Linked DNA regions of Canis lupus familiaris. The protein of the gene in region 1 purifies or fractionates together with the protein of each later gene. This does not show direct contact. Links are inferred from orthologs where the notes say so. Each region holds a gene or a part of one and is shown in the gene's direction. Other genes may lie near its edges.

Region 1 (4,111 bases):
CGGGGGCGGGGGGCGGGGGGCGGCGAGCGCGGCCCGGGGACCGGGGACCGGGGGGAGGGGGGAGGGGGGAGGGGGGAGCGCACGCCGCTCGGCCGCCCGCACCTCGGGGCGTCCCGCCGACGGTCGTCTCCCCTCCGCGCCCCCGGCCTCCTCTGGAAGGCGGCCCCGCGGAAGCCCTGCCCGGCGGCGGCTCGGCAGGAGGGTGGGGGCCCCGGACGCGGTGGGGGCAGCCCCCCTCGTGGGCGACGCGGCTGGGGCAGGGGGCCCGCGGGGCCGGCGGGGAAGCGCGGGCTGGAGCGGCCTCCCCGCCGGGGCACGTCGGCCGCGTTCGCGCTTAGGACCCAGCCAGCTGCCGAGCAACCGGCGGGGCCGCCGGGAGGGTCGGGGACGGCGCTTCCCGCCTCCTGACTTCAGGTCGGGACAGTGAGGAAGGGGGGAGCCGGGCCGGCGCCCGGAGGGGCGAGGGGCCGGGGCCGGGCAGGGGCAGGGGCAGGGCAGGGGCCGGGGCCGGGGCCGGGGCCGGGAGCGCGAGCCCGGGGAGGCGCGGGGAGGCGCGCGGGGCGGGAAGACCCGGACACACCGACTCTCGCGCCGCCTGTTTCCTGAAATCCTGGTGGGACCGTCGCCCTGAGCCCCCCCCGCCCCGCCCCTCCACCTCTGCGGGCCCTCGCGCCCCTTCCCCAACTCCGCGGCCAGCACCAAAAAAAGTAAATCAACGTGAAGTTTGAAGAAGAAAGAAAGAATCGTAGTCTTAGTGCTGTTTACCCACTTCCTTCGAAAAGGCGTGTGGTGTGACCTGTTGCTGCGAGAGGGGATACAAAGGTTTCTCAGTGGCTGGCAGGCTGGCTGTGGGAGCCGCCTCCCCCCTCCTCCCCCCCTCCCCCTCCTCCCCCCCTCCCCCTCCTCCCCTCCTCCCCCGCGCGGCCTGCGGCGCGGCAGGCCCCGCCCCCTTTCATGCAAAACCCGGCGGCGAGGCCGGGCTCGAGTGGAGGAGCCGCCGCGCGCTGATTGGTCGCCGGAAACCCATTTATTCCCTGACAGCCCCCATCACATGGATGGTTGTCTATTAACTTGTTCAAAAAAGTATCAGGAGTTGTCAAGGCAGAGAAGAGAGTGTTTGCAAAAGGGGGAAAGTAGTTTGCTGCCTCTTTAAGACTAGGACTGAGAGAAAGAAGAGGAGAGAGAAAGAAAGGGAGAGAAGTTTGAGCCCCAGGCTTAAGCCTTTCCAAAAAATAATAATAACAATCATCGGCGGCGGCAGGATCGGCCAGAAGAGGAGGGAAGCGCTTTTTTTGATCTCGATTCCAGTTTGCTTCTCTCTCTCTCTCTCTCTTTTCTTCCCCCAAATTATTCTTCGCCTGCTTTTTCTCGCGGAGCCCTGCGCTCGCGACACCCCCGCCCGCCTCCCTCCTCCTCCTCCCCCGCCCGCCCGCCCGCGGGCCCCCCAAAGTCCCGGCCGGGCCGAGGGTCGGCGGCCGCCGGCGGGCCGGGCCCGCGCACAGCGCCCGCATGTACAACATGATGGAGACGGAGCTGAAGCCGCCGGGCCCGCAGCAAACTTCGGGGGGCGGCGGCGGCGGCGGCGGCGGCGGCAACTCCACCGCGGCGGCGGCGGGCGGCAACCAGAAGAACAGCCCGGACCGCGTCAAGCGGCCCATGAACGCCTTCATGGTGTGGTCCCGCGGGCAGCGGCGCAAGATGGCCCAGGAGAACCCCAAGATGCACAACTCGGAGATCAGCAAGCGCCTGGGCGCCGAGTGGAAACTTTTGTCGGAGACGGAGAAGCGGCCGTTCATCGACGAGGCCAAGCGGCTGCGAGCGCTGCACATGAAGGAGCACCCGGATTATAAATACCGGCCCCGGCGGAAAACCAAGACGCTCATGAAGAAGGATAAGTACACGCTGCCCGGCGGGCTGCTGGCCCCGGGCGGCAACAGCATGGCCAGCGGGGTCGGGGTGGGCGCCGGCCTGGGCGCGGGCGTGAACCAGCGCATGGACAGCTACGCGCACATGAACGGCTGGAGCAACGGCAGCTACAGCATGATGCAGGACCAGCTGGGCTACCCGCAGCACCCGGGCCTCAACGCGCACGGCGCCGCGCAGATGCAGCCCATGCACCGCTACGACGTGAGCGCCCTGCAGTACAACTCCATGACCAGCTCGCAGACCTACATGAACGGCTCGCCCACCTACAGCATGTCCTACTCGCAGCAGGGCACCCCTGGCATGGCGCTGGGCTCCATGGGCTCGGTGGTCAAGTCCGAGGCCAGCTCCAGCCCCCCCGTGGTTACCTCCTCCTCCCACTCCAGGGCGCCCTGCCAGGCCGGGGACCTCCGGGACATGATCAGCATGTACCTCCCCGGCGCCGAGGTGCCGGAGCCCGCCGCCCCCAGCAGACTGCACATGTCCCAGCACTACCAGAGCGGCCCGGTGCCCGGCACGGCCATTAACGGCACACTGCCCCTCTCGCACATGTGAGGGCCGGACAGTGAACTAGAGGGGGGGAGACATTTTCAAAGAAAAACGAGGGAAATGGGAGGAGAGTAAGAAACAGCATGGAGAAAAACCCGGTACGCTCAAAAAAAAAAAAAAAAAAAAAAAAAAGTCATCACCCGCAGCAAATGACAGCTGCAAAAGAGAACACCAATCCCATCCACACTCACGCAAAAACCGCGATGCCGACGAGAAAACTTTTATGAGAGATCCTGGACTTCTTTTTGGGGGACTATTTTTGTACAGAGAAAACCGGAGGGGGGGGGCGTGGGGAGGGCGAGGGGATGGACCTTGTATAGATCTCTGGAGGAAAGAAAACTACGCAAAACTTTTTAAAAGTTCTAGTGATACGGTAGGAGCTTTGCAGAAAGTTTGCAAAAGTCTTTACCAATAATATTTAGAGCTAGTCTCCAAGCGACGAAAAAAAATGTTTTAATATTTGCAAGCAACTTTTGTACAGTATTTATCGAGATAAACATGGCAATCAAAATGTCCATTGTTTATAAGCTGAGAATTTGCCAATATTTTTCAAGGAGAGGCTTCTTGCTGAATTTTGATTCTGCAGCTGAAAATTTAGGACAGTTGCAAACGTGGAAAAGAAGAAAATTATTCAGATTTGGACATTTTAATTGTTTAAAAATTGTACAAAAGGAAAAAAAATTAGAATAAGTACTGGCAAAACCATCTCCGTGGTCTTCTTTAAAGGGGCAAAAGTTTTAGATTGTACTAAATTTTTTTTTAACTTACTGTTAAAAGCAAAAATGGCCATACAGGTTGACATCGTTGGTAATTTATAATAGCTTTTGTTTCCCAACTTTCCATTTTGTTCAGATAAAAAAAAAAAAGCAACAACATGAAATTACTGTGTTTGAAATATTTTCTTATGGTTTGTAATATTTCTGTAAATTTATTGTGATATTTTAAGGTTCCCCCCCCCCTTTATTTTCCGTAGTTGTATTTTAAAGATTCGGCTCTGTATTATTTGAATCAGTCTGCCGAGAATCCATGTATATATTTGAACTAATACCATCCTTATAACAGGTACATTTTCAACTTAAGTTTTTACTCCATTATGCACAGTTTGAGATAAATAAATTTTTGAAATATGGACACTGAAATTATGCTTGAGTCTTTCATTTATTTGGATAACACTGATTATACATAACTCCTCCGGGTATATACTGTGCTCAGCCAAGAAAGCAAAATACCTAAACCTTGGTATTCTAGTCCAGTAGCGTGTGCTAATGTTAATTGCAACAAATAAATGTCTGAATGATTAATTGAATATAAGTACTCTCAAAAAATTGAAATGCTTATATCATTTTGAAAATAGAAACTAGAGACATATATTGTAAACCCACCCTCTCCTTTTCTAAGCTGCATGAATAAGCATGATGGGGACTTATACTTAAAACTGATTTATGCCACTTGTTGCCAGAAAGAAGGAGTCAATTCTGAAAATTTTCATGTAGCTCAGCAGATGGGGTATTGAGCCAAATCAGAACCAGGTTGGCTGGTTTTGTTTTCGTTTTCCTCAATGCACAATGGCCCTTTGGAAACCTGGTTCTAGGGGAAAATGATGCTTCTTGTATCGGAATAATTGCAAACTAGACATGCA
Region 2 (3,500 bases), on another chromosome or scaffold:
GCCACCAAGAACTTTGTTAAAGAGATTGCTTTGTCTAGTTGAAGTTTTTATAGATTTTTAAAGGACTATTGCACTAGTTAAGTAATACATTTAGCGTGTTAAAGTATGAATAATAAGGTCTGATTATTTTTTTCCAAAAGCTGTTTTGTTATTTTCTTGGTGGAGTCTGGAATCTGGCTGTGGAGTTCATTTTGTTTGCATTGTCATGAATGCCATGATGCTGTCTCTGCAGTTCTATATTAAAATTGCGTTACTGCTGTTGCAGTTTTGTTTTTAGAATAACCTGAAAACCTTCATTTTATATACATGGTTGGTTTTGGGGAAAAATAATTTTAATATTTGATCTTGTAAAAGTTAGTTTTGTTATCTCTTGAAAAATTGAGTTTCAACTGTCCTGCAAACTATGTACTTGGCTTTGAGGCTGATCTCTTCTAATAAATAAAAAACAATTTGCATTGGTGTATCTGTTGTAAGGTGACAACTATTTGATTGGTTTTATTTATTGACTTTATTTAGAAAGTGTGTGGCTTGCTGTGAAGCATGACTTGTAAATTTAGTTTACTGATGGCAAACATGATTGAAGACATTCAGGTAGAAAGTCACCTTAAAACAGCTGTTGTGTGTAGGCGACCAAAGTTATTTGAAAAGTGTTAATGTTGATGTTTTTAATATGACAGGCTAAGGGACCATTTGTTATGTATATGTGTATTTGTTCACCAACTATATCATGCTGGCCAAAATATGATCTGTAGCATGAATTAGGTTAATATGGTTGTTAGCTTTTTTTTTTTAGAGAAAGTGGATGATGTACATTTTAGAAAATTAGTTAAATTTACATAGCCATTGATAGGAGGTATGTTGGTCTGGTTTTGATTGTTGGTGAATAATAGGTGCTTTTCTGTAGAGTTGTGCACAGGTGTGCAGTAAAGCAAGATACTGGTGTTTAAATGTATTGTTTCTTGGTATCTTCCTTTTGTATGTCTTATGTAGTTGGTGAGGTTACATACGTGGAGCTCTTTAAGGATGCGGAAGGAAAATCAAGGGTAAGTGCTGTGGGCAATAATCTGCTTGAGGTTTAAAAGTTCCTCAGCAGTTTACTTTTTTGTATAATATTTGTACCAGTTTTTGGAAACTTAAGTTTCATTTTGCTTTACTTTATTATGCAAGATTTGAGGCTTTACACTAGCAAGTCTGACACTTATCCAAACCAAACTAGCTGCCTGGAAGGGATGGGTTTCATAAAGGGCATTCACTTTTCTAATGCTCTAAGGTAATGCTTCTTCTTAACCAACAGATTTAATATAGGATTTTTTTTTGTTGTGTTTTGATGTCTTCAAGGATATTTTAAAAGTTACTGAATTGATAATATTCCCTAAGAGTTCTATGAGAAGCCCATAGCTTAAAGGTGTTAATTCAGAATGTATGTTTGAAACTTTACATTGAAGAACTTAATTTGGTAGCCTGCAAGACTACATAAGAGGCAGTGCTCTGACCAATTGGTATGAATGACATTGATGATTAAATTGACATGGAAGGAATTGGTTGATAGTAGATTTTGATTTTTAGCAACAAGAAAGCAACATTCTGAAGAATACAGTGGAAAACTTTAAACAGTGTTTAATTATATTGGAAGAACCAGTTGGGTGCATGAGAAAAGCTTTGTCACTACATTCAAATGGCACTTCAAACAGTAATAATGACATGATTATTTTTAAAATGATTCTATAAGTTTGTTTCTTTAGCATAGGTTGTTTTTTTACATATTTAAACTGGATGCTATTAAATTGTGTGCAGCCAGTTTTGTCTAATAGAGAACTGAGTTAAAAAGATTATTTCCTATATTGATTTAATAAAACTGAAAGATATACATTAAAAACAATTTGTGCATCATACATCCTTTGGAAATATTCCTAACGACATGAGAATAGGTGTATTGAAACCTTCAGTTATTTCCTTGAGTTACTTTTGACTGAATTTGTGCGATGATGTTACTTTGTCTTAACTTAAAGAAGAGTCCTCTAAAAGTAAATATTTGCTCCAAGCTTTTTAAATGCTAGATTTTACTCTCTTACATAGATGGATTTAAACATTGACAGGAAATTTGTGGTCACTTGCCTGTTGTGTTCTGGAAGTGTAAAAAGACAAAATGTAATTGTGTTATTGGTTGCTTTTAATGACTTAAATATTAGAATCTGCCATTAACTTCATCTACTGATCTAAAACTTTTTTTCTTTTGCATATATTGACAAATCTACCTGGATATAGGGTTGTGGGTAAGAATTTTTTTTAAAGTATCAAGTCAAATTTAAACTTCTGATTGGGAAAAAGAAAACTTAGTATATAAACATTTCCTATAATTTTTTCCCCATTAAGTGTGGTTGAATTCAAAGATGAAGAATTTGTAAAGAAAGCACTAGAAACTATGAACAAATATGATCTTAGTGGAAGACCCCTGAATATTAAAGAGGTAAGATTTCTTATATTTGGAATAATTTAAACTTTGAATATAAGGGCATGTTTTCTTTGGATTTTCATCTTTGGGGATATATTTCTCTTACTGCAACTTTTTTCTTTTTTTTTCTTTCTTTCTTTCTTTCTTTTTTTTTTTTTTTTTTAGCATAGATGCTTACGAAAGCATTATATAATTGATGAAAGTTTTGCTTGTACATGCTTTCCTATTTGCCGTTAAGCAGTTTTCCTATGTATTTGATTTGTCGCAAGTTGTTAGAAGTACAGACACATGATTAAAAAAAAAATTCAGACATTTAATGATGGCAAACCTTAGGTGTGACTTTATTCGGTATAGACATTTTCAGTTTTTAGATTGTGTGGCTTAATTTGATAAATACAATAGATATTCTTGTAGTTTATGATAAAAAGTTGCTTAATCAAATACCTTATGGATTTGAATAAAATTGATAGTCACTTTTAATGAAAATTACTCTGAAACTGTGCCAGATTAAAATTAAAAACAAAACAAAACAACAACTTGTGAATCTATTAGTGAAATTGTAACTGGAACTTGAAAACCCCTAAAGTGGAGATAACTCCCTTTGTATGGAACAATAGCAGTATAAATCTGTTGAAAAAAGAATGGTCAGAAGATAACATGAGCAACTATTTACACTTAAGTGTAATTGACCTTGGTAATGATTAGTTTGAGTAGCAGTCATTTTCATGTCTTCCTTTAGTTTGTATTGGTACTCTTATCTGAATAGTTTAATCACAGACCGGTTATGTATATGTTTTTGCTAAATTCTATATTACGAATAATTGAGAATGTACTTAGGACCCTGAAGAGTCTCTACCAGCAAGCTTGCAAGTCATTGGTAGTAGAGCATTACTGTTGGTCACAGTTTAATTTGGTATAGAAGTGATTTGAATCCCAGCTCTATCAGTTTCTGTGACTAGGCATATTACTTATTCTCTAAACCTCGGTGAGTATAATAGTACTACTGATAGTACTCACCTAATAGGGTTTTTATGAAGATTAAATGAGA
Region 3 (3,977 bases), on another chromosome or scaffold:
CAGGTTGTGACCCTGGAGACCCTGGATGGAGTCCCACGTTGGGCTCCCTGCATGGAGCTTGCTTCTCCCTCTGCCTGTGTCTCTACCTCTTTCTCTCTCTCGCTGTGTCTGTCATGAATAAATAAATAAAATCTTTAAACAAAAATAAATCTGGGATCTTTCCCTCTAAGAACCACAGGACGAGGATTGGAAAAGAATACCGAAAACAACCCAGTTGTTTCTAATTTACATCACCCAGAATCTTGGGGAGTCTCAAAATGGCAAATGAAGAACCTGTATCCAATTTTCCGTATTCCAAAAAGCTACCAGAAATTACACATTTCTTTTCTTTTTTTCGTGGTATTAAGCGCCAGGTTTCCTTGTTTTGTGGTAGAGGATATCAGATCCACATTAAACCGAGATTCTGGCTGAGCCGTGGTCAGATCAGATAGAACTGGTTTTCTCGTCATCGTCATGCTTAATTTGGTAAATTCATGTTTCAAGATGCAAGACAGCACGGTCGGACCAATAATAATCGATAACACTTGCTACGATGTTTGCAATTTACAAAGCACCGGTGACTGACTTCATCTTAATGGACTCCTCACAGCCGCGTGGAATGAATGGCTTAACAGCAGGGCCCAGACTCGTGGAGGGTCAATGCAGGGCTCTTCTCAGCCGCTCAGAGCCCCGGGTCTTTCCCGTAGCGTCCACGGAGGCTTCAGAAGGCGACTCGGAAGCACCTGCCATGCCCGGGCCGCGGGCTGCAGCCGCGTCTCGGCCTTCAGGAAGGCGGTCGCCCCACGCAGTGCTGCAGCCGGTCCGCGCCAGCGCCGCTCCGAGCGGGGGGCCGCGACCCGGGCGGCAGCCAGGGTCGGCGCCCAGAGCGCGTGCGCAGTCGCTTCGGCGCGCTCCCCTCCCCGCCAGCTCCCAAGCGCGGGCGCCACCCTATCATTCATTCCCCTCTCCGCAGCCCTTTCACCCTTTGGGACAGCCCCACCCCCTCCCTCCCTCCCTCCCCTCCCCCTCCCCCTTCCCCCCTTCCCCCCCGTACGTCACCCGCCGCTCGGCTGCGGACGAGCGCAGCCCGCGTTGCTAGGCCGCCGCCGGGGGCGCGCCGCGCGCGTCCCAGCCGCCCTCGAGGTTGTCTCCGCCGCCGCTCCCGCCCCTTCCGCCGCTCGCGCGCGCGCACGGCCGGCCCTCGGCGCGCCCCGGTTGGCTGCGGCGGGGCTCGCGGCGGTGGCGGCCTCGGCGGCGGCAGTGGTTTCTCCTCCGCTGTTTCAGTTTCCTCCGCCCCCTCCTCCCGTCGGACGCGGCTGTGTGCTCGCCTTAAACAAAAAAAAAAAAAAAAAGAAAAAAGAAAAAAAAAGATCAACTTTATTGTTCCTCAGCCCCACCTCCCGGCGCGGCGCGGCGCGGCGCGCGGCCTCAGGATGCACTGAGGTTGAGGGGAGGTGAGGGGAGGGAGGCGGCGGCGGGTCGCGGTCCCTCTCCGAGCGCCCGGCCGGAGGTGGGGGAGGCACGATGTCCGGGAGCCGCCAGGCCGGGTCGGGCTCCGCCGGGACCAGCCCCGGCTCCTCGGCGGCCTCCTCGGTGACTTCCGCCTCCTCGTCCTTGTCCTCCTCCCCGTCGCCCCCTTCGGCGGCGGCGGCGGCGGCGGCGGCGGCGGCGGCGGCGGCGTCCGGCGGGGCGGCCCAGGCCGCGGGGTCGGGCGGCCTCGGGGGCCCGGCGGCGCGGCCTGTGCTGGTGGCGGCCGCCGTGTCGGGCAGCGGCGGCGGGGCGGTGTCCGCGGGCCAGTCTCGGCTCAGCTGCGCGGCCAGGCCCAGCGCCGGCGTGGGAGGGAGCAGCTCCGGCCTCGGCAGCGGCAGCCGGAAGAGACCTCTGCTCGCCCCCCTGTGCAACGGGCTCATCAACTCCTACGAGGACAAAAGCAACGACTTCGTGTGGTGAGTTGGAAGAGCATCGCCCTGCCCGCCGCGGCACGAGGAGTTTGCGCGGTGTGGGCTGGCGGGGTGCGGCGGGAGGGTGGTCTAGGTGGTGCCGGGGCGGCGTCTGCAGACCCTCAGGCCGGCGGAGGACGTGGGGGTGACTGCGGAGGCCCGGGCTGCTGGGGAGGACGTGAGGGGAGTCCAAGGAAGAATTACGCGTCAGGGGGCCGAGAAGGAGGGTCGGGTAAATGGTGGTGCGTAAACGGGGAAAGTTGGGCCTTGCTTTTTTTTTTTTTTTTTTTTTGTTTTGTTTTTTTGTTTTCTGGTGAATTTTCTGCTTTCTGGTGAATTCGACACCCTGTCGGTCCGGATTTCTTGTTGAACTTGTAAAAGGAGAGGATTAAGCTTCCTGGGAGGCCGAGGGACGGAGTTGGTCAAATTTGCTTATTGGAAGTGTGGTAGATGGTGCTCCAGACGTGGGTATGGATATTTTAAGGAGAAGTAGTATTTCATGTCAGTATCCCTCGTGTGTGTGTGTATAAATATCCTCCCACTTCAAAGGGTAGGCCACTTTTAAATCTGCTGTTGAGGCTACTGTAGTCATAAAAATCTGTTCACAAAAATTTCCACTTGTCACTAAATGCCTTGGACGCGAGGGAACCACATTTATTCAACAGCATCCATGTGTCGGATGTAGCTGTACTACATTTGTGTAACAGGTTACAGTGCCCTGGAACTTCCGATCTGAGGAACGCCAGGTAGTAGACACCTTGTCATCATAGTTGGCATCTTGAACGATACACAGTAGTATACCGTTAGGATGTCTGGCAGAGTTGGGTTATCTATATTAAGTGAGAGATGGAGTGGATTGTCTTGCTGGAAGTGTTTTGGGATTTCTCATTGGGTTTTTGTATCCAGAACCCAATCCAAACAGTAGGAGTAGGAGAAAGGAATTGCTTCTAGTTAAGTGAGAACGGGTAGGATTTTGCACTTTTCTTTTGGAGGAAATTGTTGATAGACTTAGAACATGAGTAGGAAGTTGGCTTGCGCTGTCATTATAGGGGAAGTTGATTTACCTCAGGGTTGAAGATGATGTGAGTTGGCATCATTAAGTAAGATTGGGCTACACGATGGAACTGTAGGAAAGATAATTGATTAGAGTTTCTAGGTCTTGCAGTAAAATTATCTTCACTCCTATTTCTGCTTTGGTCTTACATTACTCTGGATTGAGACAATTAATTCGTTTCTCATTGAAACTTGGCTATAATTGTTATTTATAAATAATTTAACTAGCTTATGGGTGGGTCTAAGAGGTGTTTATGCTCATACCCAGTAAGTAGGGTGCCATATGATGAAGTAGAAGCTGATGAAACAAAATGAGGATTTTCAAAAATTCTCTTTCTCTTTTTCTCTTTCTTTTTCTTTTTCTTTTTCTTCTTCTTCTTTTTTTTTGTTTTTTTAAGATTTATTTATTCATGAGAGACCCGGAGAGAGGCAGAGACACAAGCAGAGTGAGAAGCAGGCTACCTGCAGGGAGCCTGATGTGGGGACTCCATCCCAGGATCCCCGGATCACACCCTGGGCTGAAGGCGGCGCTAAACCGCTGAGCCACCCGCGCTGCTTGGATTTGTCTTTTTAACCACCATTTGCATTTTAATTAATTAATTATTTTATTTTATTTTTAAAAGATTTTATTTATTTATTCATGATAGACATAGAGAGAGAGAGGCAGAGACAGGCAGAGGGAGAAGCAGGCTCCATGCCGGGAGCCCGACGTGGGACTTGATCCCGCATCCTCAGGATCGCGCCCTGGGCCAAAGGCAGGCGCTAAACCACTGAGCCACCCAGGGATCCCCACATTTTAATTTTTAGAGGGTTAAAAGAAAACAAATATGCCAGCATTCCTATAGGTGCACTGAAATAGTAGTGAAGATGTGAGAAATAAGAGAATCAATAATTTATTCAACAGATATTTATTTGGCACAACTGTCTGCCAGGCACCATGAGTTGTATATTGACTATTTTGTAGGGAATTAGAGAGCCATAGGATAATATAAGCAGTTGGCATTG
Region 4 (3,500 bases), on another chromosome or scaffold:
TTAGGAAAACTGGACTGTACTTTAGTGCTACACTTGGGGGCCAGTTCAAACAGTGGAATCACCAACAAAATGTACAAAAATGAGGGATCCCTGGGTGGCTCAGTGGTTTAGTGCCTGCTTTCGACCCAGGGGCGTAATCCTGGAGTCCCAAGATTGAGTCCCACATCAGGCTTCCTGCATGGAGCCTGCTTCTCCCTCTGCCTATGTCTCTGTGCCTGCCTCTCTCTCTCTCTCATGAATAAATAAAATATTTTTTTAAAAATACAAAAATGAAACTATACCTCGGAAAGTATGACAGCTGAAATAAGGCAGAGCATTGTATTGAGTGACTCAGAGTTTTCCACCTCTGCACATGTGTGTGACCATGAAAGTGTCCCCAATGCTGATTTGGGGCTTACAAATAACGTTTTTGCAAGTAATGAAGTTGACAAATGAATCTTGACAATGAGTCGTGACCATACAAGTTTTAATAACTGATCTCCCATTTTCTATAGGATCTTGGAGAATCACTTCTGAAAACATTGCCTTTATTTCTCTATATGTTTTAAGTCAATGGTGAATTTTTTTAATCAAGGCATTTTTAAAAACCTACATACAGTAACACATTGATAAAGAAATGAGAACTATTTTAAGGAATGCCTCTTTTTTTTTTTTTTTTTTAAGATTTTTATTATTTATTCACGAGAGACAGAGAGGCAGAGACACAGGCAGAGGGAGAAGCAGGCTCCACGTAGGGAGCCCGACGTGGGATTCAATCCCAGGTCTCCAGGATCAGGCCCTGGACTGAAGGTGGTGCTAAACCACTGAGCCACCAGGGCTGCCCAGGAATGCCTATTTATAGTGTTGACTCACATGCCTAAAAGTAGAATCCATACAATAGAATTATTATAGGAACTTTGATTTAAATTTTTTTAAGATTTTTATTTATTCATGAGAGACACAGAGATAGAGAGGCAGACACAGGCAGAGGGAGAAGCAGGCTCCATGCAGGGAGCCCGACGTGGGACTCGATCCCAGGTCTCCAGGATCATGCCCTGGGCTGAAGGCAGGCGCTAAACCACTGAGCCACCCAGGGATCCCCTGATTTAATTTTTTTTTAAAGATTTTATTTATTCGTGAGACAGGCAGAGTGAGAAGCAGGCTCCATGCAGGGAGCCCCGATGCTGGAGTCGATCCTGGGACTGCGGGATCACACCCTGAGCCAAAGGCAGATGCCCAACCACTGAGCCACCCAGGCATCCCTTACGTGAACTTTTAAAGTGGCATTTTCAGTTATTTTTAGAATGTATCAAATTGGGTGGAGATGTACTGGAGTCACCACCAACTAGGCACTTTGTTATTTTAGTTTTGAGAGAGAGCCCGCATGAGTGGGGGAGAGGAGTAAAAGCAAAGGGAGAGAATCTCAACAGACTCCCCACTGAATGCAAGGCTCCATCTCACAGTTCTGAGATCATGACCTGAGTTGAAACCAAGAGGCAGATACAGCTGACTTAGCCACCTAGGTGCCCACTAAGCACTTTAGACCCAATTTTTATGAAGAGGAGTGAAAGATAATTTGGAGTCGAAAGAGGGAGGACAGATTTTATATGATTTCTTACTTTTTTGGTAGAAGATGAGCGGTAGACATCAGGCAGAATTTCTAGTTAACAATCTTTGTTGAATCTCCTGGAGCGCTTAGATGGGTTAAGTATCCATATGTCTAGGTAGCTCTGCCATTCCTAGACTCATTTTTCTTAAGTTATCCTGACTTCTCTAGCAGGGCGTACATGTTCTTTTCTGAGTGAACTTACTCAAACATCTTTTAAAATGCTTAATTATCTTTTAAAATGCTTAATTATCTTTGGGGGCACCTGGTGGCTCTTGGTTACAGCTCAGGTCATGATCTCAGGGCTGTGAGACTGAGCCCCGCTTCAGACTCCCCACTTAGTGCAGTCTTGTCCCCTCCTCCCCTTCTGTCTCTCCTGAATGCGAGTACAGACATGCACGTGTGCTCTCCCTCTCAAAATGAATAAATCTTGGGATCCCTGGGTGGCGCAGCGGTTTGGTGCCTGCCTTTGGCCCAGGGCGCGATCCTGGAGACCCGGGATCGAATCCCACATCGGGCTCCCGGTGCATGGAGCCTGCTTCTCCCTCTGCCTGTGTCTCTGCGCCTCTCTCTCTCTCTGTGACTATCATAAATAAATAAAAATTAAAAAAAAAAAATTAAAAAAAAAAAAGAATAAATCTTTTAAAAATAAATAAAATTACTATCTTTCAGTGTACACGTTGGTCACTTAGAATTGGTGTAAAGTATTCAAGAATTCAAACATTTGAGGGACACCTGGGTTGCTCAGCCGTTGAGCGTCTGCCTTTGGCTCACGGCGTGATCCCGGGGTCCCAGGATCGAGTCCCACATCAGCCTTCCTGCATGGAGCCTGCTTCTCCCTCTGCCTATGTCTCTGCCTCTCTCTTCTGTCTCTCATGAATAAATGGGTAAAGTCTTTTAATAAAAGAAAGGCTTCTGTCACACCACCATTTAAAAAAAATAGGTCTGATGATTTTTTTTTTTTTATGAATTCCCTTGTATAAAGTATAAAATTTGAATAGTATTAACAGCCAATTGGCATAGCTTTTGGGACAGTATTTTAGGAAAAAAGATAATAGTATTTTGAAAACTCAATGAAGTTGCCTTGAGAGATCCCTGGGTGGCGCAGCGTTTAAGCGCCTGCCTTTGGCCCGGGGCACGATCCTGGAGACCCGGGATCGAATCCCACATCGGGCTCTCAGTGCATAGAGCCTGCTTCTCCCTCTGCCTATGTCTCTGCCTCTCTCTTTCTCTCTGTGACTATCATAAATAATAATAAAAAAAAAATTAAAAAAAAGAAAAAGAAGTTGCCTTGAAATCCAGGTACTTTTAAAAACCATTATGGTGTATCTTTTTTCAGCGGGGGAGATGCTGTCTGTGGCTGAGCACTTCCTGGAGCAGCAGATGCACCCAACAGTGGTGATCAGTGCTTACCGCAAGGCATTGGATGATATGATTAGCACCCTTAAGAAAATCAGGTATTGAGATCAGAAGTTACTATCATCTCTGGGGAGCCTGGAAGACTGATCTGTTCTGAGGTGATGAAGGAAGGCCAGACACATCACACAATTTATACGCTGGTGTCCTGTGCTAGAGTGAGACAGGAGAGCAAAACCAACAGAGGATGAGAGATGTAAACATTTTGGAAAATGACAAAGGATACAAAGTAGACAAGAGGGACTCAGTACAGTTCTTCAAAATATCTCTTGGTTACGTGCTGTTTGCTTGTTTCTGTGTTAGGTGCTGCCATGGAAAATGTTAGATGCCAACGGGTGGAATTAGTTGAAGAGTTAGGTAACTAATGATTCAGGACTTAATAGTAAAGTGTTCTCCCAATCATGACTGATGCGGTCAGTGTTCTAATAAAATGCTGTGGAGAGTGTAGCCGGCAGTTTTCCATTCAGGTCAGAAGGAAGGGGGCTGAAAATGCTTTTCG
Region 5 (4,109 bases), on another chromosome or scaffold:
GTACTTGATTTTTTTGAAGGAGCCATGCAAGCCTTTGAGAAGAAAGCTATGAACTGGTTCTCTAGAAAAAAAAGGAATTCCTTAGAAAAAAGATCCATTCAAGAAATTGCCGGTTTGATCCCACTGACCATGAGTTGAAGAACGCCTTTGTAGAAGAGATATATCATCTTTCATTTCAAAGTAGTTAAAAAAACCCCATGAATCATTTAAAGCAGGAAATTAGCGGAAATTTCCACATTTTGTCTTTGTGCAGGTATGTGACGTGTTGCCGGGAACACTGGGGAGACTGGGGTGATAAAAGAAGTTGCTGCAAAGTCAGCTCTCGGATCCTGCGATAGGACCTTCTGGAAAGGTCCTTACATAACTACCTCACTTCTCCAATAAAAGGCTGTGTATTCCTTGCCCCTTAAGTGATTTTGCACTTCCACTTTAAATATAACTGCGGATGAAGGGCGAGATACAACAACAAAAAACCCCTAAAGATCCGCAGGATGATTAGGACCGCCCCAGGGAAATCAGAGCGAGGAGCGCAGAGCCCCCGTTCCTTCCCACGTCCCCGGGGACACACACTCAGCCGCCCTCGCAGACCCCTTCCCCGCCCCGGCGGGCTCCCCCGCGCCGCCTCCTTCCCTAACACGTGCTCTCCGGAACACTCACTCGGGAGCGCTCCCACCCCCCGGGGGGCTGGGCTCGGGGCCGCACCGACCAATCGGCGCGCGCCTTACAGCGCCGTGGCCCGACGACGTTGAGCCGCCCAATCGAAAGGGCCTTAGCGCCCGTTTCCCGGAGCCCCGCCCCCTCGCAGCCGAGCCCCCGCCCGCCGGTCTCCTCCCTCCTTCTCCTCCTCCCGTTCGCCCCTCCCCCGCCGCTCGGGAGCGGAGCCTGCGAGACGGAGAAACTGGGGCAGAAGTGAAGATGGCGGCGGCGGTGCTGGCGGCGGCGGCGGCTTCTCGCCAGTGACGCGCGGTGCGGGCTCATCTCCCTCCCCACCTCCCTAGTCCGGACCCCGTCCGCCGCCGGGACCACACCGTCCCCGCAGCCCGCAGCCCGCCCCTCTCCGCCCTCCCCAGCGCCCCCGCTCCCGACGCCCGGCCGCCGCTGGCGGCGGCGCGCCCCGAGTCCCGGCCGCCGGCCTCGCACTCCCGCGCGCTGTCGCCGGGGAGCGGGTGGCGTGTTGATCCGCCCCTGCCCGCCCCGCCGGACCGCCGGGCCGCGGACACACGCCCGGCAGGGAGGCGGCGGCGGCCCCTGCGCATTCGCTTCCCTCCATTGGGGACTGGGAGGCGGCGGCGGCGGCGGCAGTGGGTTTTGGGGAGGGGAAGGGGGCTCGGAGGGGGTGGGCGAGAGCGGGAGGGGGCCGTCCTCGGGAGGAGGACGAGAAGGAAGCACCATGACGTCCATCCATTTCGTGGTTCACCCGCTGCCGGGCACCGAGGACCAGCTCAATGACAGGTAATAGGGCCGGCGGGCTGGCGGGCGGGGGGAGGGGCGCCTCCCCGCCCTCCCCTCCCCCACGAGGCCGCGCCGGGGCGGGCGCCCGTGTTTACGCGCCGGCCGGCGGGCGCGGGGGGGCCTCACCGCCCCCGGCTAGGCCCCTTCCGGGGCAAACTTCTGGTCCCGGGGGTCCGGGGCCGCGGGGGGAGCGCGGTGGAGACGGTGCCCGCGGTGTAGACGGGAAGGCGCGCTGCAACCTCCTCCTCCCCCCTCCCCGCCCCGTCTCCCTCCGAGGAGCCGCGTTGAACTCGGCGGAGATGATTGCGGGGGGGGATCGGGCTCCCGGCGGGGGGGGGGCGGGCTGTAATTACCGCCCGGCCCAGGCCCGAGGAATCCATATTAGTCAAAGTTGAATTGAGACAGACAATGCGGATGGGGGATGGTGGAGGTAAAAAGAGAGGGAAGAAGAGAAGCGGGGCGAGGGGCACGGGGGTAGACCGGGCTCGCCCGGGCCCCCGGGAGCTGTGTCCGGTGGGATAGTCTGGACCTGCCAAGTCTGGAGATGCCAGGGGAGGGGGAGGCTGATTCCCGGCAGATCGCGTCGGGGCGGGGGGGGTATGGAAGCGCCATGATTATTGTTATTATTATTAAATTTGAGCTCCTGCAGTGAGGTTTGCCTGCCCGGGGAGGGGATGAATTCAGGCGGGGGTGGGGAAATGGATTGGATTCCCTTTGCTCTCCTTCTTCCGTAATGGGGCTGGTGAGCTCCTTCTCCCAGCTCCTATGGTGCGAGCTTTTTTGTTTCCTTTTTTATTCTAATGATAGTGTTTTCCTGAGTTGTAATTTGACAGCTGAAAACCGTGCGTAGAGTCAAAGGAAAACTCTTACGTTTGCAGTTCGCAATGCTGCTTTCTTAACAAGCTGTAAATTTCTGGGATGGGTTTGCTATGGGCGGAGGAGGAATTATGATTTTTTTTTTTGTCTTTAATAAGAAGGCTATTTTGGCTGTGGATTCCTCCCTTTGCCTCCTCCACTGTTCCTGCCAGTTTAGGATATTGAATTGCAGGGCCGCATGCTCTCAGGGAACTAAGATAAAGCAGGAAAAGTTCCTTCACTGTTGCAAAACAGACATGGAGAAGGTTGAGGGAGGCCTCCATTAAAGTAAGTCTTAGAATTTAGGACTCCGATCTAATGATGGGCTGAATATTTAAAGGGGCCAGAAAGTGGGGCATTTTAAGCCTTCCTCCCCCACAATGATCTAGCTGCTTTCTATTTCTTTTGAGTATAAATGGCCATCTGGACCCAAGTTTAGAAGTTAGATAGGATTTTTGCTAAGTGACCGGGTGACATAAGTTGCATGACGTTGTTTGTCATGCGCTTCCCGGAGGGAGGAAGAGGCCTAACTTTCGGCTTAGACACTGGCCTCGGTCTCCGAGTATCTATCCGCCTCAGGTGGGGCGGAGAGCTTCTCAGTCCGAAAGCTGGGGGCTTAGTTTGTGGCACTGGTTCAGATTTGTCTAATCTTTGCTGTAGCCAAATTGTTGGCTGTTCGTGAAACTTTCGAAATACTTGCTGAAAATACTGAAATAAATTTTGTCATTTATTTTCTTTGTTATGTAATCCTAATTCTGATTTCACTTCATTAGAGATAGAGATCTTTAAGACTTAAAAGATTTTTTGGGTAAATTTTGGAACCGGGCTATTAGTGAGGATAGCTCTACTGTCATTCATAGAACCAAGTTGGTAGGGCTTGTAGTGTAACTTGTCTTGTAATTTAGGACATTGCACCAGTCAGGAGAGAGGGTAGGCCATGCTTTCTGTATTAGTCCTGCTTGATACCAAGAATCCTGACTGGCTTACTCAGTTGACTATGCCAAAACCTATTTTGTCTTGGGCATTTTGATTCATTTTTGTACATTGCTTTTACTTTAGCTTGTCTGAGAAATTTACAAGTAATGTATCTTTTTTTAAGCTACCTTTTCTTTAATTCCTAGTGTAAACAAGTAATCAGTTTTGTTTTTGAATCCCACAGGGGCAGTATACAATACTAAGAATATTTAGACCACTTTGAGTTTTTATGAACTAGAAGTGAGTTTGATTCAGATTATAAAACGTGTGCATCGAGGTGGCAGATATTTGAGAAAATAGTGCTGTAGGTCAAATTTTGGGGACCTGTAGTTAAGCTGGTAGCATAAAGAATGGTCTGTTGAGATTTGTGAGGACAGCATTGAGATAGTCATGCACCCTGTTTTGATGTAGCTGACTTACAGTGGAACTATTCTGTGTCTCCCCTTCAAAGGGAAAGATCCTCTTTGCATACCTCCTTGCAGAGTAATAGGATCAACCTATTGCTGCATTGCTTGACAAATATCTGTTTACAAAACAGACTGGCTTCTGGAGCTCCTTAACCAGAACAAAAAGTCCAGAATATTTTCATCTTCACATTAAAAAAAAAAAACAAACTACCAAGATTTAGTAAGTTTTGGTAATAGAAACTATAAACTATAACTTGACTTTTATATAAGAAATGTGTCTGTGCCAGAAATGAAATGATAAATGATGTTTTCGGATGAAAAATGGTATAAATAAGTAGACTTTATTCTTTACATGAAAAGCAGTAAGATTGGACAGGCAGTATGGTATAAATTGGCGAGTAAAAGAAAACTTAAGAGGCC
Region 6 (3,077 bases), on another chromosome or scaffold:
GAAAAATAAAACAAAAAATCCTTACCTAAACACATATAGGTGGATTCTAGATGGACTAAGCCATAAATATGAGAAAAGTAAAACAATGAAGTTAATAGAAAGAAATGTAGGAAAATACCTTATGACCTCAGATGTAAAGACCCTTCAGAAGCATAAGCCACAAGGCAAACAAAACCAAGAAAATATTAATTTGATCACTTCAAAGTAAGGATATCTATTCAGTGAAGAATATCCCAGGCAAAATTCATCGATGATAGGATCGAAGAAGATTATTACAATGTCTGTAACTAACATGGGACTAATTCTTTGAGTATGCAAATCAGCAAGAGGACAGTAACCCCCATTTAAAAAAGAAAAAACAAAATAGGCAAAGGCTGTGAACAGGCTAACAAGAATACAAAGAGATGTCCAAAATTATTAGTAATGAAAGACATGCAGATTAATTATGAATATATCACTGTATACTTAGTAGACTGGCAACAAATAGGAAATTGGAAGATGCTGAGTGTTGGTAGGGGTGTGGGAACACAGGGATTCCAATGCTTTACTGCTGGGAATATTGTGAAGGGGTTCAGGACAGGGCCCCCCAGAATGTGCCACTTTGGCATGTGGGTTCTTTTGAGCTGAAGGCACTTGAGAGCCTGCAGGCTCAGGAGAAACTTCTGCCCCTCCCTTAACCACACAGAAGAATCTAAATTAGGGGTCTTTCCCAGAATAAAGGTTATAAGCAGAGATAAATTTTATCTGAGTGGCCCATCTGTATGGCAGGGCAAACATCTAATTACCAAACATCTGCTCTTCTTATCACCCTGCGTTCCTTTTCTTTGAAGTCCCAGACCATTAACCCCCTTCTCCTTCTTTCAGAATAATAGGTATACCTCATTTTGCCTAATTGTCTTTGGAATTTCCATGTGTATGTGGATTCCCCTATGTACACTATTAAATTGGATTTTCTCCTGTAAATTGTCTCATGTCAATTTGATTCTTAGTCCAGTTAGAAGAACCTTTGAGGGGACAAGAATACTTGCTTCCCAACAGTGGTCTAGTGTGGCCATTCTGGAGAACAGTGGTAGTACCGAATTAAATGGTGGGTGCACATACCCTGTGTCTCAGCAGTTCTGCCCTGAGATAAATCCTAAGAAGGTTCTCATTCAAGTCCATAGGGGACCTGTATTCATTGAAGTGCTTTTTTGTGCTGATGACAAGTAAGGGGACATGGTAAGCATTTTCACTGGGAGAGAGGAGGTGAAATCAGGTGAATATACATGGAGTATCATGCAGCAATCAGAAGCTACTGATTAGATATTCACATAGGAATCTGGATGGTTCTTAATAAAATGCTGAGTGAAAAAAGAAACAGTGAAATATAAATTGAAAATAGATGAAAACACAAATACAGATTTTGTTATGAACGAATACAAAATAGATAAACACTAAATAGAATGCCATACACGCGAGGAGGAAAAGGAGACTGGGGTGGGTGGATTTAAAACAATAGAAAAAATTTTTAAATATATATTTTTTTGACAGGCAGCAAAGCAGAGTTTATTGAGCGATAGTAAAGTGATGGTACAAAGCTCCCGAAGAGGGAGGGCCCCAAGAGGGTTGCCCGAAAAATTTTAAAGTTTTTAAAAAAGAATAAAGAACTTTTCAAAAGTGTTCCTAAGGATCTTTAAACTTGAGATGGAGCAAATAATAGAGATGAGGAAAAGGAAACTTCCCTGTGGTAACTTTTGTTTTCCCAATTTATATAGGGTGGAAGCCTTGAGAGAAGCCGCAACTGCTGTTGAGCAAGAGAAAGAAATCCTCCTGGAAATGATCCACAGCATCCAGAATAGCCAGGATATGAGGCAGATCAGCGATGGTGAGAGCATTTCCACAGAAGGGAGCTCATCTTTTCCACTCTTTCATGGGATTTAGGATAAGTGTGGGTCCATTTTCACTTGACTTGAGGAATGAGTACACTTGGCTTCAGCATTTCCCATGAGTAGCGGACAACAGCTGTCAATTTATTATTACAAGAACCATTTACAAAAAAAAAAAAAAAAAAAAAAAAAAGAACCATTTACCCAGAGGTCACCCTTCTGGCCTGCTGCCTACCTCAGGGGCATGGTTAGAAATGTTAAAAAAAAAAAAAAAAAAAAAAAAAAAAGGCCTCCAAGCTCCAGAAGAGGTGGTCCCAAGCAGTAAGGTGATGCCTTTGACCTCAGGTTTACAGTCCTGACTTCAATTCCTCAGAAGTTACTGGATGGCAGAGAGGACAAACGAGAGGGGTTGAGGTATTGAGATAAAATCCAGGGGAAAGAAATAATGGACCCAATAAAACCCCATTAATGTAAAAATGTGCTATCATTTCTATATGAAAAGCATGAGTTTCCGTGGAGGAATAGGGCACTTGTATTTCCTTTCACTGGCGGTGATCTTTCTAATTTGGTTGCTCCGGGGCCTCCCTAGACAAGCTCATGGTCCAACAGCTGGTGCCATGAGTGTACAGTCTAACTCCAGGCCCTGCACGGTTAGACACACATGGCAGGATCAAGATCTGGCCGGTCTTTTCATCATCCTGGCCAAAGATTGATGAATTAAGAAGGGGGTTACAGGGAAAAAAAAAAAAAAAAAAAAAAGGGAGTTACAGAACAGGACAAAGAGGAGATTACTGACTTTTTCATGTAAATAATGAAATGTGGATCCTTTTTCCCACCATTGCCTCTCTGTGCTGGCCAAGACTTAGAAACCACTGGCCTGCTTAAATTTCCCTGGAAAGGATGAGTCACTGCCGAATTTCGAGGCCAGCTTTTTCTCCACCATCATGGTTATGTTTTTTTCAGCCAAAATTGGAGCATTGTATTCTGATATCCATGCAAAATATACCATCTCAAATTTTGCCTCTTTGGCATAAGAATTATTTCAAGCTGATTATTTTTGAGAAACTGCAGACACAGGAGAAGCTCTGAAAACAGAATAGAAGTTACTTGTTTGTAAGGGATGTTTACATTTATAAGGGATATTTCCATTTGTAAGGGTGCCTGCCTCCGTGTACCAGGAAGGATAACTGTGAATCACAAGAAACCCTTATA
Region 7 (4,043 bases), on another chromosome or scaffold:
ACAGGAATCACCTTTATTATTTTCTGACCTTCATTTTGTCATGTAAAAAAAGATCATCAGTTGTGTTTCTACTGTGGACACTAAACAATTGTATCCATAACTCTTGTTATCTTTACATATCAAGTGACCTTTGTGGCTATAAAAATCTAGTACTGCAAGAGCAATTTTAGGAATAATTAACACATGCTTCCTTTACATAGAGCACATAGGACTTCAGAGTGTAGTTTCCAACTTCTTTAAACATTTAAACTCCTTTTTACATGGATAGAGTACTCACTTCATGCTTAAATATTTTAGTCCATATCTTTACATATTGGTAAACCAATATGTTAAGTTGTAGTGTAAGATGAACTTGTTTACGGGAATACTTTGTGATAAAGGAAATGTTATTATTAGGAATATCTGGTGGTTGTGAGCCTTTACAAGACCCACAGTTCTAATTTGCAAGTAGTTTCCCATGTGATTCAGTGTTTTCCTATTACACAGTGAGGCCAAAATGTAAACATAGATGCTAGGATTTACATATATATAAATTATGTATTTATATATATAGTACTTTTGTAATATATATATATTTTTTGTAATGATCAAAACAGCATTCTGGTCGGTAATAGTTGTATTTATAATACATCCATACTATAAATTTGAACTAGACAGATTTTACTAAAAGGGTGATTATTGTGTTGCAGATTTACATTTGAAAAGTAATTTTAGTTAGTAACAGATCTCAAACCCAGTGTTCTGATCCAGTCAGCAAAACCTACTTTGTATTTTAGATGTCTTTGTATTCTATCAGGAAAGAAAAACCATTAGTGAAAATCTAGTTTTTTTTTAAAGTCCATGTCCAGTCTCACCAGAAAGATCTCTGAATTTTTCAGTGAAAGAAGTTAAAAAGAGAGGGGAGAGGTATTTTGGGAATTCGAGGAGTTATTTCCTACCTTGGCTTTCACTATAAATTTTCTTCCTCCTCAACAATAATTAAGCTTTCTGACATCCTGAATAACTGTAATTTGTATTTCTACCTAAAAAGAGGTGTTTACTAAAAGAGGTTCAGCAGTGGTGGAGCTGTGGGGAGTGTATTAAGGAGACCATGGAGTCTGGCTTTCACTCTCACATGGTAAAGGGGGATTTGGGGGCTTTTTGTGGATATAATCCATGATGTTTAGCAGGTCATCCTAGTGACTTAAAAGTACTAAAAACTAATTTTAAATCCTAATGACTTGATTAACTCTTTTAGGGTACCTGAAGCACACCATACAACGGTTTTGAAAATCCTGTGTGGGGAATGGCTACCCAAGGTTTGTATCAAAAGTCTTTAGTTACTGAATCGGGGCTCTGCTTCATTGCCATTAACCCAGTCTGGCTCAGATCCCCCTGCTTTACTCTCTCCCTGCTTACTTGTCAGGCTACCTTTTGCTCCATTTTCTGCTCACTCCTCCTAATGGCTTGGTGAAATAGCAAACAAGCCACCAGCAGGAATCTAGTCTGGATGACTGCTTCTGGAGCCTGGATGCAGTACCATTCTTCCACTAATTCAGTGAGTAACTGTTAGGTGGTCCCTTAAGAGTATAGATATTTCATCACTGAGCTAATCCTGGCTATCGTTGTTTATTCTTGGCTGACTTTCAGATTTGACTATTTCTAACAATATTTCAATGGGTCATCACAGATATTTTAATGAATATAACATCTCCATGGTGGTAATGCTAATATTGTTTGATTTTTATAGCTGATTTGATGGAGCTGGACATGGCCATGGAGCCAGACAGAAAAGCAGCTGTTAGTCACTGGCAGCAACAGTCTTACCTGGATTCTGGAATCCATTCTGGTGCCACTACCACAGCTCCTTCTCTCAGTGGTAAAGGCAATCCCGAGGAAGAAGATGTGGATACCACCCAAGTCCTGTATGAGTGGGAACAGGGCTTTTCTCAATCCTTCACTCAAGAACAAGTAGCTGGTAAGTATTTTATTGCCTTAATAAAAGTTAGAAGGCAATTTTAAGAATGATTCTTTAAAAAGTTAGTATGTAATAGCTTAAATAAAATGGTGTGGTAAAGAAAACATGGAGTGATTGTAATGTTACCTTTACCACTTAGGGTAGCACAAATTCAGGTGAATGCTGAATTATGGACAGTGAGTGTTGAATTTATTTTTTCCAGATATTGATGGTCAGTATGCAATGACTCGAGCTCAGAGGGTGCGGGCTGCTATGTTCCCTGAGACATTAGATGAAGGCATGCAGATCCCATCTACACAGTTCGATGCTGCTCATCCTACTAATGTCCAGCGTTTGGCTGAACCATCACAGATGCTGAAACATGCAGTTGTAAATTTGATTAACTATCAAGATGATGCAGAACTTGCCACACGTGCAATCCCTGAACTGACAAAACTGCTAAATGATGAGGACCAGGTAAGTAAGGACATGGCTAGCTTTTAATCTGCTTTAAAGGAAACTCTCAAGGAGCCTCAGAATGTTTATCCGGTATCAGTATTTGAAAATCATAATTCTGTCTCTTAATTCCTATACATTATAGGTGGTGGTTAATAAGGCTGCAGTTATGGTCCATCAGCTTTCTAAAAAGGAAGCTTCCAGACACGCCATCATGCGTTCTCCTCAGATGGTGTCTGCTATTGTACGCACCATGCAGAATACAAATGATGTGGAAACAGCTCGCTGTACTGCTGGGACCTTGCACAATCTTTCTCATCATCGTGAGGGCTTGCTGGCCATCTTTAAGTCTGGGGGCATTCCTGCCCTGGTGAAGATGCTTGGGTAAGAAAACATGGTTAGGATGCTTGAAGCTAAGGAGGAGAAGGGTGCCATCACAGCCTTTCTGATGAGGCTTTTTTTTTCTTCCCAGTTCACCAGTGGATTCTGTATTATTTTATGCCATTACAACTCTCCACAACCTTTTATTACATCAAGAAGGAGCTAAAATGGCAGTGCGTTTAGCTGGTGGACTGCAGAAAATGGTTGCCTTGCTCAACAAAACAAATGTTAAATTCTTGGCTATTACAACAGACTGCCTTCAGATTTTAGCTTACGGGAATCAAGAAAGCAAGGTAAAAGAATTTTTCTGAGTATGGCTCATGGAGCATTGGGGAATCCAGTGTCATGTCCTTCTGTGGACTCTTGCACATTCTTTGTATGCCTCACCCTTTGTGTGTATCCTAGAAAAAAAGCTGGACATCTCTTTTTCTTTAAATATTTGTTTATATAAGGCTAGGTGATAAGGATATAGTGGGCATACTTAGAGCTTTCATACTTAGGTGGAAGATAGGCACTAATTAGAGATAATAACCTAATTACTATTTAATTCATGTATCTGGAAGAAGTAGAGGGGCTGTGATAGCATATACGTGAACCACACCCTGCTTGGAAGGTTTAGAGAGACCAGTGGAAGGAAGTGATAGTGGAGTTCAGTTCACAAGGATGAGGAAAGACTGACTAGGTGAAGGTGAGAGAGAGGAATTGACACCTTTGAAAGTCCTACTGAGAGAGGAGAGGGATGAATTTACAGAGTAAAGAAGAGGAAAGGTTTGAGATGAGAGTATTGAGATTAGCAGGGAAGGTCCTTCAGGGCCTTGTAGAATATGTTTTTAAAAAGTAATGGAAAGCAGTTCAGTATCAGCAGAGGCATGAAGTGAGGAGATTTGTTTTTAGAAAATCAGGATAGTTTGGAAGTAGGGGTCTGCAGGAAAGTAAAGGGCAAGAATGAGTAATTATTTTATGATACTTCATTTTAAGTAGGTGAATAATGATTAGGAAAAGCCAAGAGCCAAATCATTAGGAGTTCTAAGCACCTGTTCTGGCTCAAATTTTCAAGAAATCTGCTTTGATATACCATTGATATATGGACAGTACTGTTGCATACCAACATGGTTTCTGTTTCTTTTGTTCTGATCAGTGTGAGAGGAAGAATATTGGGGAAAAGTTGAGATATTCTTGGGAGTACTGGGATGCCTGAATTTGAGTGGAATGGTGTAAGAGGGGCTAAACGTGGTCCCAGTATGGGAATCTGGGGTAATGGGGTTCAGGG

Evidence for each region.
Region 2: the proteins of SOX2 (region 1) and MYEF2 purify together in Homo sapiens (affinity purification with mass spectrometry; 3 studies listed by BioGRID and IntAct, with this or other methods). This does not show direct contact. The link is inferred for Canis lupus familiaris from reciprocal best matches to the Homo sapiens genes SOX2 and MYEF2.
Region 3: the proteins of SOX2 (region 1) and COP1 purify together in Homo sapiens (affinity purification with western blotting; 3 studies listed by BioGRID). This does not show direct contact. The link is inferred for Canis lupus familiaris from reciprocal best matches to the Homo sapiens genes SOX2 and COP1.
Region 4: the proteins of SOX2 (region 1) and CCT3 purify together in Homo sapiens (affinity purification with mass spectrometry; 3 studies listed by BioGRID and IntAct, with this or other methods). This does not show direct contact. The link is inferred for Canis lupus familiaris from reciprocal best matches to the Homo sapiens genes SOX2 and CCT3.
Region 5: the proteins of SOX2 (region 1) and UBR5 purify together in Homo sapiens (affinity purification with western blotting; 3 studies listed by BioGRID and IntAct, with this or other methods). This does not show direct contact. The link is inferred for Canis lupus familiaris from reciprocal best matches to the Homo sapiens genes SOX2 and UBR5.
Region 6: the proteins of SOX2 (region 1) and BAG2 purify together in Homo sapiens (affinity purification with mass spectrometry; 3 studies listed by BioGRID and IntAct, with this or other methods). This does not show direct contact. The link is inferred for Canis lupus familiaris from reciprocal best matches to the Homo sapiens genes SOX2 and BAG2.
Region 7: the proteins of SOX2 (region 1) and CTNNB1 purify together in Homo sapiens (affinity purification with mass spectrometry; 3 studies listed by BioGRID and IntAct, with this or other methods). This does not show direct contact. The link is inferred for Canis lupus familiaris from reciprocal best matches to the Homo sapiens genes SOX2 and CTNNB1.

What each region holds. Positions count from the first base shown.
Region 1 is NC_049255.1:15,025,169-15,029,279, forward strand, and holds SOX2 (transcription factor SOX-2), read left to right. Parts: upstream 1-1,481; 5' UTR 1,482-1,509; coding exon 1,510-2,478; 3' UTR 2,479-3,611; downstream 3,612-4,111. UniProt on the Homo sapiens protein: Transcription factor that forms a trimeric complex with OCT4 on DNA and controls the expression of a number of genes involved in embryonic development such as YES1, FGF4, UTF1 and ZFP206. Binds to the proximal enhancer region of NANOG.
Region 2 is NC_049251.1:14,705,047-14,708,546, reverse strand, and holds part of MYEF2 (myelin expression factor 2), read left to right. Parts: intron 1-990; coding exon 991-1,043; intron 1,044-2,265; coding exon 2,266-2,273; intron 2,274-2,373; coding exon 2,374-2,467; intron 2,468-3,500. UniProt on the Homo sapiens protein: Transcriptional repressor of the myelin basic protein gene (MBP). Binds to the proximal MB1 element 5'-TTGTCC-3' of the MBP promoter. Its binding to MB1 and function are inhibited by PURA.
Region 3 is NC_049228.1:23,216,169-23,220,145, forward strand, and holds the start of COP1 (E3 ubiquitin-protein ligase COP1), read left to right. Parts: upstream 1-1,177; 5' UTR 1,178-1,503; coding exon 1,504-1,925; intron 1,926-3,977. UniProt on the Homo sapiens protein: E3 ubiquitin-protein ligase that mediates ubiquitination and subsequent proteasomal degradation of target proteins.
Region 4 is NC_049228.1:41,556,186-41,559,685, forward strand, and holds part of CCT3 (T-complex protein 1 subunit gamma), read left to right. Parts: intron 1-2,924; coding exon 2,925-3,042; intron 3,043-3,500. UniProt on the Homo sapiens protein: Component of the chaperonin-containing T-complex (TRiC), a molecular chaperone complex that assists the folding of actin, tubulin and other proteins upon ATP hydrolysis.
Region 5 is NC_049234.1:4,153,791-4,157,899, reverse strand, and holds the start of UBR5 (E3 ubiquitin-protein ligase UBR5), read left to right. Parts: upstream 1-1,309; 5' UTR 1,310-1,390; coding exon 1,391-1,452; intron 1,453-4,109. UniProt on the Homo sapiens protein: E3 ubiquitin-protein ligase involved in different protein quality control pathways in the cytoplasm and nucleus. Mainly acts as a ubiquitin chain elongator that extends pre-ubiquitinated substrates.
Region 6 is NC_049233.1:24,633,002-24,636,078, forward strand, and holds part of BAG2 (BAG family molecular chaperone regulator 2), read left to right. Parts: intron 1-1,754; coding exon 1,755-1,864; intron 1,865-3,077. UniProt on the Homo sapiens protein: Co-chaperone for HSP70 and HSC70 chaperone proteins. Acts as a nucleotide-exchange factor (NEF) promoting the release of ADP from the HSP70 and HSC70 proteins thereby triggering client/substrate protein release.
Region 7 is NC_049244.1:10,789,130-10,793,172, forward strand, and holds the start of CTNNB1 (catenin beta-1), read left to right. Parts: upstream 1-1,243; 5' UTR 1,244-1,285; coding exon 1,286-1,298; intron 1,299-1,729; coding exon 1,730-1,957; intron 1,958-2,159; coding exon 2,160-2,413; intron 2,414-2,537; coding exon 2,538-2,776; intron 2,777-2,864; coding exon 2,865-3,066; intron 3,067-4,043. UniProt on the Homo sapiens protein: Key downstream component of the canonical Wnt signaling pathway.